Drosophila melanogaster: one gene and its partners. The protein of the gene in region 3 interacts with the protein of the main gene of each other region in a pairwise test. Each region holds a gene or a part of one and is shown on either strand. Other genes may lie near its edges.

Region 1 (5,900 bases), on a different chromosome or scaffold from region 3:
ACCTTTGAAAATGTAATCCTTAAGACGAAGATGATGAACCCAACATATGAAAATACTTATTCGATCAATTCACAACTAATACGAAAAGGAAAGGATTTTGCATTCGGAAGATTATTTTTATTTCAAACTTCCTAAATAGAAGCATTCATTAGATTACTTATTTTACAGTCGGGGTTTTTTTTTTAATGTCTATTAATGCTGCAGCATCTGACATGCGATAACACAGTTGTCCTTGACCTAGTTGTAGAACATAAACATAATAGATGCACATCAAAAATGTTTATTTATAAGATCGGTTAAGTTTTAATATGGCAACGTATGACAGACATTCGTAATACAAACTTGCGTAAATGCATTCAGGAGTTCGCAGTTTTATGATTATTTATCTGATTACATATTTTAGCCTTGGTATGTTTTCCCACTGGGGACGTGCGAGCGTATCTTGTTTAAATATTCTTTGGTCTATATTTATAATAATTAAACAAAAAAAAAAAAAATATCTAATTATAAAACAATACTTTCTTCGATGACTATAAATTTGATATACCTAGAGTTCAAATAAATATTTTAAATATACTTTGAGATCATCTTGAGATACTTGTTTACTCTTTGTTTCTCGCCTTTTGGCGATGTTCGTCTAATACTTCCCGCAATCGCTTGACGAAATTAGCTTGATCTCTCGGAATAAAGCCCAGGAAGGCGTTCCTCGGGGACGAATACAGCAGCATGATAACCTTGCAGACGACCTCGGAGGAAAATCGGGCACAGCCACAACTGCCGGCGGACATTGATGATGCTAGCGAGTCGTGTTCTTCTCCAGGTGTCGATCGGAGAATTATAAGTTTCGAGTCCTTTATAAACGCTCCGGCGAACTGACCAAGATAAATTGAAGGCATCAAAACCATAGGCATATCAGTTGGCCAATCCTCCGCACTGATCCCGGGATCACCGTTTTTTATAGCTATGTACACGGAACACTCAAGCTTGTGACTAATGCTTGGCTCCTCTAAACTTGCTTGTGTCGACCAATTCAGCGATCCAGTCCATAGGAGTTCATTTATAATGGCATCTTCCTCCACAGGAGGCGGTTCTTCTGGCTGTGGCTGCTTGGGTGTTTTGACGCCCGGCTTTCGTTTTGCACCCTGAAGAATCTCCTGCAGTCGTTCGCTAAACGAATCCTCATTGTTGGGTATGAAGCCAACCAAAGCTTGATGATCGCGCGAGTAGATGAGAATTAGAGCCTTGATGTTGCAGTTGGGATTGGAGGGGAAGTGGATGCAACCAGCGAAACCAGAGCTCATCGCCGTGATCAATAAATTGAGTACCTCTCCTTGGCTGGATCGGAATACAACCATCCTGGCATCCTTTAGGAATTGTTCGCCAATTTTACCCAGCACTTTTTTGGGTATCAGTTGTGTTTTCAGCTTGTTTGGCCAGTTCTCCGTGTTGATCTCCGGCTGACCTTCTTTAACCATGGAGCAGATTTTGCATTGGACCGTGTGCAGAGTCTTCGGTTGATCCAATATCTGTGCATCCTCCCATTCGAGCTCTCCACTCCAAATTGTTTCCTTTGAGTCACCATTTTCAGGATTTTCCGGTTCTTTTTGCAAAAGCAACGCCCCAATCATATGTGTTAGACAATCGAGTTCCCCTTCGTCATCACCCACTCCTCGGGCTTCCTCTGGAACCGGCTCCATGCCCCTTTCAAGATGCAATCTAATTAAATATGGATTTTGTCGGATAGGCAACTTGTCGGTTAAAAATTTGTTTATCTGTGATATGCTTCTTCTTGCTTTTAGCGGTTTGTTATTGGTATCGCACTATCGGTTGGCTGGTTGGTCGATTGGCGGCCATCGAGATGCAACGCAATGCAACCCTGGCCAATCACTCTCACTTCTTCTTCTGCGTTTGTGTCAAAACAAAATTAAAACTAAAAACTCGCTAAAACCGTCTCGCAGCGCAATTATCTTTAGACTTCGTGTTATTTATGTGTTTGAATGTTAGCGTCGGCACCCCGCATCCCAGTGTTCATAACCCCATGTGTGCCACCTTGGTTTAAATGCTACCAATCTCCTGGCAGAGTAGCGCGTCTGAGCGAATAAAAAAACTGAACATGTTTCGCTCCAAGCACTTGTGATTGACCAAATCTCATCTAAAGCCCTGCCATGCTGCAGTACAAGAGTGCCGCCAGTGCGGCGACTAGTGCGCCACCCGCCACGCCTTTGGCGGCAGGCGGTTCCAGCAAGGCGACGATTCCACCAAATGGAGCTAGTGCAGCAGCTTCACAAACGCAGGTTCACGGTGCTCCCGGGACACCAACCATGCAGCAGATCATCAACATTCACCAAATGCCTCCTCAGTTTGCAGGCGGAGCGGTTGCCGGGAACGGACAGAACGCTGGCATGCCCCAAAACATGTTCCAGATCGTACAGCCCATGCCCATGCAAACGGTGAACATTGATGGCCAGGAGGCCATCTTCATACCAAACCTCAATGCACAACTGGCCACCGCTCAGGCGGTCAACTTCAACGGGCAACAGGCCTTTATCACGCCCAACGGTCAAATTCTGCGGGCTCCCCAGATGGCAGCTAATCCGGCAGCCTCTAACTGCATTCAGCTGCAACAGCTGAACGGCTTGGGCCAGGAGCAAACCCAGCTGATCACCATACCCGGCACCAACATTCAAATACCCGTCACCAATCTCATTCAGCAACAACAGCAGGCACAACAAGTGCACCAGGGTACAGTGCAACAGCAGGCACAAGGAACAAATGCATCTGGAGCCAATGGATCGGGAGTTACCAATAGTGGGACAGCGGGTCAGCTGCCGGGCAGCATCACCATACCGGGCACAAACCTGCAGATACCAACCTCGGTAGCGGCGGCGAATGGATTGCTGGGAAACATCTCCAATATCTCCAATTTACTAGGCGGCGGGCAATCTATAAAGTTGGAGAACGGCCAATTGCAGATGCGGCCGCAACTGGTGCAGTTTCCGGCGCCAGCCATGCCGCAGCAGCAACAAACGGTTGCTGTGCAGATTCCCGTTCAGACTGCTAACGGACAGACCATCTACCAGACTGTACATGTGCCCGTCCAGGCAGCGGCAACATCGAGCGGCGGACTGCAAAACCTGATGCAGGCGCAATCCCTGCAGATGCCCTCCGCCTCGCAGATGCAAATCATCCCGCAGTTCTCACAGATAGCCCAGATTGTTACGCCCAACGGTCAGATTCAGCAGGTGCAACTGGCAATGCCGTATCCTCAGCTGCCTCCGAATGCCAACATTATACATATCCAGAATCCCCACCAGCAGCAGCAACAACAAGTACAACAACAACAACAGCAGCAGCAGGCGCAACAGCAGCAGCAAGCGCAACAGCAACAGGCACAGCAGCAGCAACAACAACAGGTCCAGGCGCAGCACCAGCAGCTCCTTCAGGCGATCAGCGATGCCTCGGCGGGGGGACAACTGCCGCCCAATCAGCCCATCACCATTACCAATGCCCAGGGCCAACAGCTGACCGTGATTCCCGCCCAACTACGCCCAAATGCGCCTACCGCACCCACTCCTGCTCCAGCTGGTGTGCCCACACCAATGCAGATGCCCAATCTTCAGGCTTTACCCATCCAGAACATCCCAGGCCTGGGTCAAGTGCAAATCATTCACGCCAATCAGCTGCCTCCTAATCTGCCAGCCAACTTCCAGCAAGTACTAACCCAACTACCCATGTCGCATCCTCAAGTGCAAACTCAGGGCCAAGTTCAGGTGATGCCCAAGCAGGAGCCGCAGAGTCCAACGCAAATGATCACCAGCATCAAGCAAGAGCCGCCGGATACCTTTGGACCCATTTCCGCAACTGGTAATCCTCCGGCACCTGCCTCTACTCCAAACACAGCCTCACCGCAACAGCAGCAGATCAAGTTCCTGCATACGGAAAGCAATTCCCTGTCCAGCCTGAGCATACCAGCCTCCATTCAGATCACAGCCCTGCCACAGCAAGCGACGAATACACCGAATACCCCAGCCACAACCCAACCAATTCCCGTATCGTTACCTGCAAGAAGTAAGGTCAACGCTGTGACCACGTCAAGCACCCAGATTACAATTGCGCCGACTGGTGGCCAAGTGGTGTCCGTCACGACGCAGGCTAGGGGAGCAACTGCCAGCATAAGGAGCACGAACACCAGCACGACGACTATAACAACGCCGTCACAAAGCCATCTCAATATGAACATAAGTGTGGCCAGCGTCGGAGGTGCTGCAACTGGCGGCGGCGGTGGAACAGCGACTGGAGAGCCCAAACCACGCTTAAAGCGAGTAGCCTGCACCTGTCCCAATTGTACAGATGGCGAAAAACACTCGGACAAGAAGCGCCAGCATATATGCCATATAACCGGCTGCCATAAGGTATACGGGAAAACTTCCCATCTAAGGGCTCACCTGCGTTGGCATACTGGCGAGCGACCATTTGTCTGCTCCTGGGCGTTTTGCGGCAAGCGCTTCACCCGCTCCGATGAACTGCAGCGCCACCGACGAACGCACACGGGAGAGAAGCGTTTCCAGTGCCAGGAGTGCAACAAAAAGTTCATGCGCAGCGATCACCTGTCGAAGCACATCAAGACGCACTTTAAGAGCCGCTCTGGCGTGGAGCTAATTGAGCTGAGCATCAAGCAGGAGACCAAGGGTGGCAATGCACCGAAAAGCATTAGCACGGTGAACGGCATTGTGACGATTGAGATTCCGGGCGGCGGTTCAGCGGCGGCGGGCAGTGGAGCCTCCAGTGTGGCGGCCACGGTTGCAGGCTCAACTGTGACGCCGGGCGGGGCCACGATCGTTCAGCTGCCGACTGTGGAGGCCAGCGGCGGGGGTGATAGTTTCGGCGATGATGAGGACGACGAGGAGGATGATGAATTGACCGAAGAGGACGACGAAGACGAGGAGCTCGACGAGGACGATATGGATGATTGCGAGGATGAGGAGGATGACGAGGATCCAGAACTAGACAGTGGCGATGAAGTGAAGATGACAATTGCGGTCAGTGAGCCTGGCGACAATTCGTCCAACTAGCATTCGGAGTCGCTGTTCATGGAACAGTTCTTGTTTGACCACTTCCCGTAGCACCCACCGCCCCCTGCCGCGCCCCATGGGACCATGGTTTAGCAATATATAAATTGTACATAGCGTAATTATGTAAAAGCGAGCATTTTAAATGTTTACCCTTCTTGTACAGCTCCGGTTGCGGATCATCCTAGATTAGTGTACATAGCTTAATCGACCATCGTATTTTAATTAAGATTTTTATTATACATTTTATAACATTTTTAGGGATTACATGTTTTTAATTAATTAACACCAATAAATGAAGAACTTTATATAGTTTAATATATGGACATCAGGCTATTGAGGTGACGTCGATCGGCTCAGATTCTGTATTTTGAAAAGTGATAGTTCCTTCCGAATCAATTGACGGTCCAATCGACAAGCTTTCCGAATTAATTTGATCACACCTTACCCAGCTCTCATTCATCTCTGTCTCTGGACAGTTTACCTGATCGTCAGGCTCTTGAGTCGACGTGGGTCGTACTAATGTGCTCAATTGGGTGCCAAACATATAGTAGTCCGGATCAGACTCCGTATTCCGGAAACTGTTATTTGCTTGCGAATTTATACATCCAGTCCGCATCCTTCCTAAATTAATTGGATCACATCTCACCGAATTCTCATTAATCTCTGTCTCTGGACGGTTGATGTTCTCATCCTGAAATCCTGACTGCTGCTGTTCGTCCTCATCGTCTCCGATGCCGCTAAGATCAGATGACGACACGCCTGGCGGAGCCATCGCTTCCACTTGAAAGTTCATTTGAGACAGTGAACTAAGATTTGTGTTTGCTTGGT
Region 2 (4,789 bases), on a different chromosome or scaffold from region 3:
CATTTTACTGAAACTAAACGAATTTGTATGATGCTATCGAACACGATTTTTTGAAAAGTTATTAATAATCCAAGTTCCTTAGAGATTACTCAGATTACTCGGTTCTGTTCAATGTCCTCTAGTTAACTTGAACCTAATTTCCTCCACATTTGAAACTAAACTAAACATGCGCATGTTCAATCCCAAGTCTCCTGTAGTTTCAGAGATCAGGACGTTTATACGGACGACAACGAATCTACCAGATCATTTATTTATAAAAATATAAAAGAATTAATATCGATTGGCTGCGACAAACACTCCCCACTCTCACTGCGCTACCTCTTGGTTAGCTTTGTGCTAGTTTTAGTCTAGTTTCTAATGTTAATGAACTTTGAAAAAGGGGCGTTCCACAACCGCGCCCAATTCCGCGAGTACATTATCATAAGACGGAATAATTATTCTATTTGCGACCAAGAGCCAAACAATGATAAGACGTATCGCACAAGCCGCGGAAACTCGGGAGGAAAATGGGGGCGGTTGAAGGGTACATAATGATAAGCGACAGCCGCACCCTCAAGTATTTTTTAAACGATACTAAATATGTAGGCTTTTGTCAAATATTTCCATTTAAATTAGGGAAAAGAACACCACAATGTTGTTTGTTGTTTAATAAAGTATGGATTGGAGAGACCCAAAAATCCACTTTAAGGTTATCAGTTGACTGAATAGTACAAGCTATTCCTAGCATTACTGTCCAACTACTATTAATTGAAATATTAGGTGCCCATTTTTGGAATGGCAACAATCACTCACCTAAATTGTCCACAAATAGCTTTGAGAAGCGATGTTCTGGTCGGGATTGATCCTACCGCTTGAGCACATTGATGAAGGTCTCGTGAGGAACGCGGATGTTGGCGAACATGCGCATCTTCTTCTTGCCCTCGGCCTGCTGCTTGAGCAGCTTCATCCGCCGGGTGACATCCCCACCATAAAGCTTGGCTGTCACATCCTTGCGATAGGCCTTGATGGTCTCGCGCGCTAGCACCTTGCTGCCCACGCATGCCTGGATTGCGATCTGTACCATCTGCTTTGGAATAAGCTCCCGGAGTTTGAGAACCATCTGCCGTGCCACGCCCGTGGCCTTGGACACATGGACAATGCGGCAGAGCTCCTCCACGGGCTTGCCGTTCAGATGGATGTCCAATCGAACCAAGTGCGATGGATGATAGCCGTGGTCCTCGTAGCTGAAACTGGCGTAGCCAGAACTTAACGACTTGAGGCGGTCGTGGAAGTCCAGGATGATCTCGCTTAACGGCAGTACGTACTTCATTAGCACACGGGTGTCGTCGATGTTCACCGAGCTTTGCTGCAATCCCCGACGCTCCACACACAGGCTGATCACCTGGCCAACATACTCCGTGGGCGTGATGATTGTGCCCAAAACCAAGGGCTCATAGTACTCCTTGATGGAATGCGGTTCCGGGAAGAGGGCTGCATTGGAAATGTCCATTGTATCGCGACCCTGTTGCTTGATCATCTTTGGATTACTCAAGACCAAACGATATGTGACGGAAGGCGCGGTGATTATGGGCTCAGCGCCATGCTCCTGCTCCAGGCGCTGACAGAAGACCTCCATGTGCAGAAGTCCCAGGAAGCCCAAACGCCAACCTTGTCCCAAAGCTGGGCTGGAATCAATTTTTACAGTTACCGCTGAGTCATTGAGTACCATTTTGTCGATGGCACTGCGCAGGGCGACATGTTTTGACTGGTCGGCGGGAAAAACTCCAGCAAAAACAAGCGGCTGTTGCGGTCGATAGCTTCCTGCGGCGGCGACTGCTTGGTTCTTCAGGTGAATGGTATCGCCCACAATGGATTCCTTGCTGTTGCGCATATTGCAAGCAATCAAGCCCACTTGACCAGCGGATACATCCGGAACAGGACACTCGGCTGGTCTCAACACAGAGATGCTCTTGACGGAATACACCTTCTTGGTGGCTAGCGACTGAATATCCTGATTCTGCTCTAGCTTGCCATTCAGCACATAAATTAGATTAAGGGCTCCGCGATACTTGTCGAACCAGCTGTCGAAGATTAGGGCCCGAAAGTCGCTGTCCCGTTGAACTTGTGGTGGCGGCACAGTTTCTATGACCCTTTCTAAGACTTCAGATACGCCGGTGCCCAGCTTGGCGGACACGCGCAGCACCTCGTCCGGATCTATGCCAAACAGCAGCTTTAGATCCTGACAAACCTGATCAGGGTTTGCATGCTTGATGTCTATCTTGTTGAGCACGGGAACCACTGCCAACTGACGCTGCTTGGCTAAGTGATAGTTGGCCACGGTTTGAGCCTGGACACCATGGCATGCGTCCACCAGGAGTACCACGCCGTCGCAGGCAGCCAGAGATCGCGAAACCTGGGTAATGGGCAAATGATTAGCAGAAGAATTAGCAGACTTTTGACATGAAACACACTTCATTGGAAAAATCCACGTGACCAGGAGTGTCAATGAGGTTCAGCAGATAGAGCTGTCCCTTGTGACGGTGGAAGATCGATGCGGTCTGGGCCTTGACCGTGATCCCACGCTCCCGCTCCACCTGCAGGTTGTCCAGTACCTGGTGCTGCCCGCCATTACGCGCAATGGCTCCCGTGAGCTCCAGCAACCGGTCAGCCAGCGTGCTCTTGCCGTGATCGACATGCGCAATGATGCTGAAGTTCCGAATGCGCTCCACCGGCATGTGGGCAAACTCGCGCAACAGATCCGCCTGCGAGGGCTCCTCCGTTTCGCCCTTGACCTGATTGGTGGTGCTCAGGTTGCGGACGAGTAAGCTCTTTGACCTGGCCACCAGCCAGGCGGAGTGTCGTTTGTCCCCCGGGCGCTGCAGCAGCCAACGGATTGAAATCGCACGAATCATGGCTGAATTTACATTTCTTTGCCGGCAAAAAAAAATTGTTACCGCACACCATGTGCGCCGTGTGACCGTATGATGAAAAAATACCGAGTAGCCGACAATCATGTGTAAGACAGCAGGAAAATACTGTCCATCTTGTGACAAACAGCGCCATCTGTTGGCAATCTACGAAAACCGATGTTTACACATGAACAAATATTTACAACTCAATAATCCTTTACTAATTTGTTCTCGGATGCAAATTAAACATATTCTTAAGCGAAAGATCGTAATGCTCCTAGATCTCAGATTGCCTATAGGTTTATATTCATAAATAAACAAGTAAGAAAGTCCGAAATATTGAGCTATATATCATAAATATTCTGTTTTTTCAACTGCTTTCGTGAGGAAGTCATCGCTGCGAGATTCGATTTCTAGAAGCCGAGGTTCTTTTCTTGGAACAGCTTACAATGGTAAATGGTAATTGTAATAGACCAGCAAGGGAGCTGGAGGAACTGCTGGTTCCAGAAAAAGGGGGTTTGACCTCAGCACAGTCAGAGAAAAAGCCGTTCTCAACGATCTCGATTTAAGAACTTCGATCTCAAAATCTAGCCAAGATCGAATCATGCTCAGCATACTCAGGTCGAGATCGAACCATTCTCAGATTGCAACTGACTTTGCTCTTATTTTTCGATCTCTTTCTTGGTTTTTTAACCTTACCCACACATCATCTTCTACAATCTGAAACCCGATACTGCTTCCGTCTAAAATATGTATCCAACATAGAGATCGTTTTCGTCTCGAAAAAATAAGTCTTCTTTTCATGAGAATGATTGATGGGATGGTAGGGATTATCCTGGCTGTGTCCCTGTACCGATTCCACAAGACCTTGATGCTAGACGTGTTGAGGAGACCATACACACGGACAATACTCAAGTATGGGTTGAACTAGGGATACTTGAGGTTGTGAGGATCCTTAAGCTCTTTCGACGAACGCTTGACAAATATGTACAAGTAAAACTTTTGTTCTACTAACAATAATGCCAATGTGATTGGAAAAGCTGATAGTGAAATCTCGCAATGTTACTCTTGTGCTTGCTTGTGTTTTCGAATGCATACGTTGAATGAGCATTTTGGTTTCGCTCTAAAAAAGCAAGACAAGCAGTTGTGAAAAGTGTCTAAAAGGTTAAGATTTTGCCAGGCATCAGGCGAACACAACTGCAAATGTATCTAAAGGATATGAATGCCTAACTATTGTTATTGAAATACAACAAAAGTAAACTTATCAAACAAACAAATGGGCTTGGCAGTTGGAACATTCGGCTTGTTAAAGTTTCCGAGATATTGACGCTCATACGGACAGACGTACATATATGTACATACATATGTAACTGGATGGAGTCGGCTAGTGATCTCCTCAAGAATACAAATAGTATGCCCCCTTACACTTTGAGTAAATGGGAGACTACAAGAAAATGCATAAGACGGTCTGGCTTACAAATTGTATAAAAAGCATATTTATATATTCATAGAGGATTATATTGAGTTAAAAAAGTCTTCATATACATAATAAAAGAGATTTCACATTTTGGTTTTTGTTTCATCCGTTAAAGGAGTGCACTTTTAAGCGAGTAGCCTGCTAAACCGAGTTTCCGCAACTGGCCATGGGTTCCCGGGACCGCCTAGGAAGGGATCACTGTTTATTCAATCAGATCGTGCTTAGGAATCGGGCGGCACTGCAGGACAGCGGACCATGGAGGTCAAGAAGGATCGGAAGGGCAGGCTGACACGCAACATATAGTATAACCTAAATAAATTGCTCGCTTTGAGACAACACAGATAAGGGTAAGGTAAACAGACAAAAATGAATTAACATACAATATAAATCGGATTGGATTCGCTTAGCCTAGATGCGTATTACA
Region 3 (5,557 bases):
ACGAGTACCAGGACAAGCTGGAAACCCAGCCGGAAATCAAGGAGTCCGAAGAGGACAAACCAAGTGCACCTCCCAATGCCTGCGGCGACAATGAATCCTTGCTTATTGAGCTTTCCAAGCAGCTGGAGGACAGTCCTCTAATAGATGCGCCGCTGGATGAAGATATACCTGCCCAAAATAGCACTAACAAGCTATGGTCCCGCTTGTTTAGCCAGCAGAATCAGCAACCCATACCGAGCCAAGTAGCCACGGACTCGAAGGCAAGTGCAGGTGGCGCCACCCCGGTTCCCAGCAAATCGCAGACCACCAACAATCCCTGGCTGGATCTTTTCGCCGACTTGGATCCCTTAGCCAATCCGCAAGCCTTCGATTTAAAACTGAGCGGCGGACGCAGTGTGGCCGAGCAGACCTGAGCAGATTACCCTCCCGCACAGATTATATTTGTTGATCTGCATATACCGTTGGAAACTAGCTAGTCAAAATGGAGAATCTTTGGATGTAACTTTTCGCTAAACGTTCAAAAACTTTTTATGTTTTATTTAAATAAAATTTATATGGGACACAGCAGCTAGAAGTGGATGAGGCGGACGAGAGGCAGGTAAAGTGGAGCAGGAGCCGCACTCATTTGACCGCCGCCTGTGCCTCCTTCTTGGAGTTAACCAGCTCGACCAGCTCTTTGACGCGACGTAAGCAGTCCTTTTTACTGCGATTCGGTATGCAGGCGGCGATGCAATCCCAGCGATCGGGTGTCGTCGTTGGATAGGTTTTAATGGCCTGTTCGAGCAGGGCTTGCTCCTCCTTGGTCCAGGTTTTGGAGGCAGCACCGCCGCCCGTAGACCCATTTGTGGCCGGAACTGGGGCTGGTGCAGCCGTGGGGTTTGCTGGAGCTGGAGCCGTGCCATTCTGCTTGGTTGACTGATTGTTCGCCTTATGATCTACACCGTTTTGTTTCAAGTTCTCCTTGCTCGCCTGGGCCGTCTCCTCGCCCAGGGTTATATCCTTACACGTCTGAACATCTTTCTTGGACTTCTCGAAACTGGCAAATGCCGCATCGTTGGCTTGAGTCTTCAGGGAGCTCTTCGAGTGATCTGTGTTCTGGAGCGCCTTGGCTTTGTTGAGCACATCCCTGGCATTGACCAGAACAGTGTTATCCGGGCTATGCTGGTTAATGAAAGTGGCTATGACATCCCAACGCTGTGCAGTGCCAGCGGGAAACAGATTAACCGCCTTGATAAGCAACTGCACGTTCTCATTGCTCCAGAGCTCATTCTTCTTGACCTCCTTAACGCCTTTTGGCGTGGCCGCTGAGCTGGCAAGCTTCTTGGCCTGTGTCTGGTTAATCTCCTCCAACTCGGCAGCTATCTTCTGCTCGGCCGTTTGAAGGGCAGCAACAAACGACTCACGGCCCTTGCTTTCCATTGCCTTATTTAGAGCTTGCAGCTCTGCCAGATTGAAGGTCTCGCAAATCTTCTCGGTGCCCTCCATGTGCTTCAGCTGATCCTTGTCGTTCTTGGCATAATACTTGCAGTCCTTGACCTTGTCGCGCAGCGTTTTGCGCTCCTTCTTAAGCAGCTTTTTCTGCTGCTCGCGTTCGATGCGGATCTGCTCGATGCGTTTCTGCTCGGCCTTTTCAGCCTTCTCCTTGGCCAAAGCCGCTTCACGGATGGCACGATCAGCTTCTGCCTTCTGGGCCTGGGCGGCGTCCATCTTGGCTCGCTTGGCAGCAGCCTTGCGATCCTTTTCCTCCTGCTTGAAGCGCTGAATGCGCTTATCATTGTTGTAGGCTAAATCGACGAGCGACCGGATACGAGACATTTCCTCCTTCTTGCGCTTGATTCGAGCCGCCCTGTTCTCCTTTTCGATCCAGCGACGTTCGTCGCGGTCCTGGCCCTTCTCCTTGTCCTCTTCGTCCAAGTAGCTGAATTCCCGCCATGACTTAAAATCGTACCAGAAGTTGTAGAAGCGCTCCACCTCTTCGCGTTTGGCGTCCACCTGCCCGAAGGAGGGAACATGCGGCTTTTCGCTCCAGCGCCCGTTAAGTGTGAAAAATTTGTTAAATACGCCAAAGTAGTCGTTATCGATGTCGTTCTGTGAGGGCAGCGAGTCGTCAAACTCGGGATCCACTGAGTCAAAGCTGCGGCGCGGCTTGGATGTGCCTGGAATACAAGATGGAGTATTAGATGGTTTAAGAGGAAATAGTTTAAAATCTTCCTGTCTATTTCGTACAATTGTTTACAATTATTCAAAGTGTTTAAAGCCAAAAAAATTCTGTTGTATAATAGTAAGTTATAATTTGGCATTTTGTTTAAAAGAATGTGAGAGCAAACAACTAGTCCTATTTTTAGATATGCAAAAATAAAGCTTCAAGTTCTGCGCGCTTAGACAAAGGCAACAGCACACCAATGAATTAGATCGAGTATAAATTAGTTTCAGATAATTTAAAATCTTAATTGATTATTATACTCAACAGGATTGTATGGTATCATAATTTTATATAGCTTAAGCAAATGCTCTGAAAATTAATATCAAAATATTCTTATCTGTCGATTTGCATGGGCAATGCGAAGTCCGAAGGACACCCAAGGATCAGCAAGGACATTTTCTTGACACCCACCCAGTATCTCGTAAGCTTTGGTTATGCATGTGAAGTAATCATCGTCCTGGATGACTTCCTCGCCCTTGGCTTTCCGCTTATCGGGATGGTGCAGCAGAACCATGCGCCTGTAAGCCCGTCGAACATCATCCTCGCTGGCCTCGTATCTAAAGGGTGATTTAGTCAGACAATACAGTATTAGTTGGGGAAGTCCCATTAAATATTGATAGAAACGAACACATGGGAAGAACACCACGTGCTGCCGTCGCACTAACCGGAGCTTGCCCAAGCCAAGAACGGCGTAATGATCCTGGTCCTTCCACTCCTTAGGATCCAGCGACTTTAGGTAGCTGATGTCCACCTCCTCGCCCACGCCCTCCAATTTCTCATCGCTTTCGCTGCGCTCCACGCCGCCGGGAGCTAGAAATTGGCGCCGTTGCGCAAAGTAAGCGAAGCCAACGCGCTCGATTTTACGGCGAACGACCTTGAGCGGCAGCTGCACCTCCACCGCCGTTGCTACCGTACCGCTCGTCATCTCTGGTCAGGTCCGCTGGTTAATGGGCATTCACCGCCACTCCTGTGGATTCACGTTACTCAAAATTTGGCGATCCGCTGCCTTCAAAACGTCGAAATCCAATTAATAATCACACTTTTCCGCAGCACCGCATGTGTTTCGACTAGTGGTGGTGAAACATCGATGCCATCATCGATTATGGCGCTGGTAAAATCGATTGGCTTCCTACTCTATATTTGATCGATAACAGCAAGCATGTATCGCTGGCACTTATTGGCAGTGCTGCCAGCTGCTATAGCTAAAATCGAATGGCAACTGTTGTATTGGTTTGGCGCCAAAGTGTGACCGTATCTCAACTAATGGTTATTTATGATTTATATATTTAGTTAACCGTCTTAACAAATTATTAATCCACGTTCATTACATAACAAATCCTACACTATTAAATACATTCCACATTCGAGTTTTTGTTATAATGGGCCACTAAAAAAAGAAAGTGTCATACAATAGTTAAGAAAACGACTGTTTATAATTCATTTGAATGATAACTTGACGTATATTCCAAAAACCATTAAGTTCTACCATTTGTTAGTTTTGCTTATCACATTTATTTATAACGAATTGTATAATTACAATTAAAGTGCTAAATAAGTGCTGGCTGTATAGTAATACACCTTTTATTTGCCAAAATCCATTTCACATTTCAGTAACACTTGACCTCATTACATTTAGATGGTCGTAAAATATTTTATACATAAGTATGCTTACTTTATTTACATTTCCGCTCTTTGATCAAAAGAAACGGTTTGTACAACTAATATTTGGTTTTCTAATTGATTACTGGCTGTTAAATTGACTATTAGTACTAGAAAACTAGTTGGTACACATTATGGTTGAATTGAACGAAGCTAGTAGGTTCATTGGCATTTCGTATGGTTGGCTTTTGTGGGAAGATCCAAATATCTTACTCTAAACAGATTTGAAACGCACACATATAAACGACAGTTCTTAAGTTTAACGACTAGAATTGTGCTGAGATAAATGTAATTCTTGCAACTTCAAGTATGGTGATTTAAAAATTCTACTAAGTAGCTTCAGTGTCGTTCTCCACCATTTCATTTCAGTGTTAAGCCAAACTTTGAAACATATGCCGGCGTAACTCCATTTGTATAAAATCGTTCCAAAAATAAATTCATCAGACACTCTATCGCCTTGAGATCGACTTAGACCCAGTGAGTGCGCGTACTCGGCTATAACGCATCGTTGTGGCTCTTCGATATCGTCGTCTCGATCTGGTCGATCCGTCGGAACGAGGGCATATAGCTAGAGCTGGCCTGCGTGACGATCGAGTTGTTGGAGGAACTCTAAAATATTGAATAGGAAAAATATATCATTATATAAGATAGGTTCTAGAAAATACTCTTTCTAATTAAACAGAATCATATGAACAACTTAAATACTATTTGATATATAATAATTTTTGAAACACTACGTATTGTACCTTTTTCTGTCGATATGAACGTCCCCGAACACGGGTTGTATTCCGGCGCACAGGATTGACCGTGGTGGACTTTTGGGATAACCGGACCGAGCTGAACGTGCTTCCCCGATGTCCTCGACGGATTTGCGGCGAAGGAGTGCCCGTGGCTTAAGCATTAGAATCAAATTAATGTTATAAGAATTTTAAGTTACCCGAAAGGAACACTTACGTGTTCCGGCAATGGCTGTGCTGCGTTTGCTAGCCTGAAGCATTCCGAAAACCACGGCACTGAAGGATCCATGATGGGAGGTCTGCCGCTGAAGATTCGGGGTTTGGGCCAGGGGAATCCCGGCTGGCATGCGAACCGGTGAGATCAGCTGGCTCTCCGATATTCCCTTGGGATGCACATAAAAGGTGGTCATCATGCCCTTGCCCTTCACAGCGATTTCACCACGTTTCTGTGGGATTTTGAAAAAACGTATAAGAATTCGGGATAGGTAACAAAAGACCCACTTACCACACACGTGTAACCCCTGGAGCAAAGCAATTCCGCCGTATTCTCCGGAACCTGAACTCGCCAGTTCTCGCCCGTGGAGTCCATTCGTGATGCCACATTGACCGTATTGCCCCAGATATCGTAGACCGGTTTCCTGGCTCCAATCACTCCACTTACCAAAGGACCACTGCAGATGCCCACACGCAGCTGGAAGTTATTGAAGGCATCCCCATTGATCTCCTCCAGCTTTTGCTTCATGGCAAATGCGAACTCCACCAGGTCGCAGACACTATCCTCGGAGGTCTCGCCGCGAAGTCTGAGATGCTCGTGATTTAATCCCGCTGCCGCCATATACGTGGCACCCACTGTTTTGATTTTCTCCACCGATGCGAATCGTGGCTCCTCCAGCAATTCATCAAAGTCACCTGGTTTGATTTGTGCCGTGCGGCATCATTAGACATTTGCAACCGGGAG

What was found.
Region 1: the proteins of CG10565 (region 3) and Spps interact in a two-hybrid assay, tested with the Drosophila melanogaster proteins (one large-scale study listed by BioGRID).
Region 2: the proteins of CG10565 (region 3) and bbx interact in a two-hybrid assay, tested with the Drosophila melanogaster proteins (one large-scale study listed by BioGRID).

The regions. Positions count from the first base shown.
Region 1 is NT_033777.3:24,222,921-24,228,820, reverse strand, and holds Spps (Sp1-like factor for pairing sensitive-silencing), read left to right. Parts: upstream 1-1,886; 5' UTR 1,887-2,165; coding exon 2,166-5,072; coding exon of another isoform or gene 5,073-5,123; 3' UTR 5,124-5,376; downstream 5,377-5,900. Other genes in the region: CG13609 (uncharacterized protein), read right to left, coding at 603-1,697; cav (caravaggio), read right to left, coding at 5,398-5,900.
Region 2 is NC_004354.4:21,361,263-21,366,051, reverse strand, and holds the start of bbx (bobby sox), read right to left. Parts: upstream 3,025-4,789; 5' UTR 2,994-3,024; coding exon of another isoform or gene 2,451-2,993; intron 2,393-2,450; coding exon of another isoform or gene 845-2,392; 5' UTR 793-844; intron 1-792. Other genes in the region: waw (waclaw), read right to left, coding at 845-2,392, 2,451-2,993.
Region 3 is NT_037436.4:21,132,750-21,138,306, forward strand, and holds CG10565 (uncharacterized protein), read right to left. Parts: upstream 3,605-5,557; 5' UTR 3,129-3,604; coding exon 2,869-3,128; intron 2,761-2,868; coding exon 2,615-2,760; intron 2,157-2,614; coding exon 622-2,156; 3' UTR 501-621; downstream 1-500. Other genes in the region: ICA69 (islet cell autoantigen 69 kDa), read left to right, coding at 1-413; Ac78C (adenylyl cyclase 78C), read right to left, coding at 4,358-4,471, 4,609-4,754, 4,817-5,045, 5,105-5,508.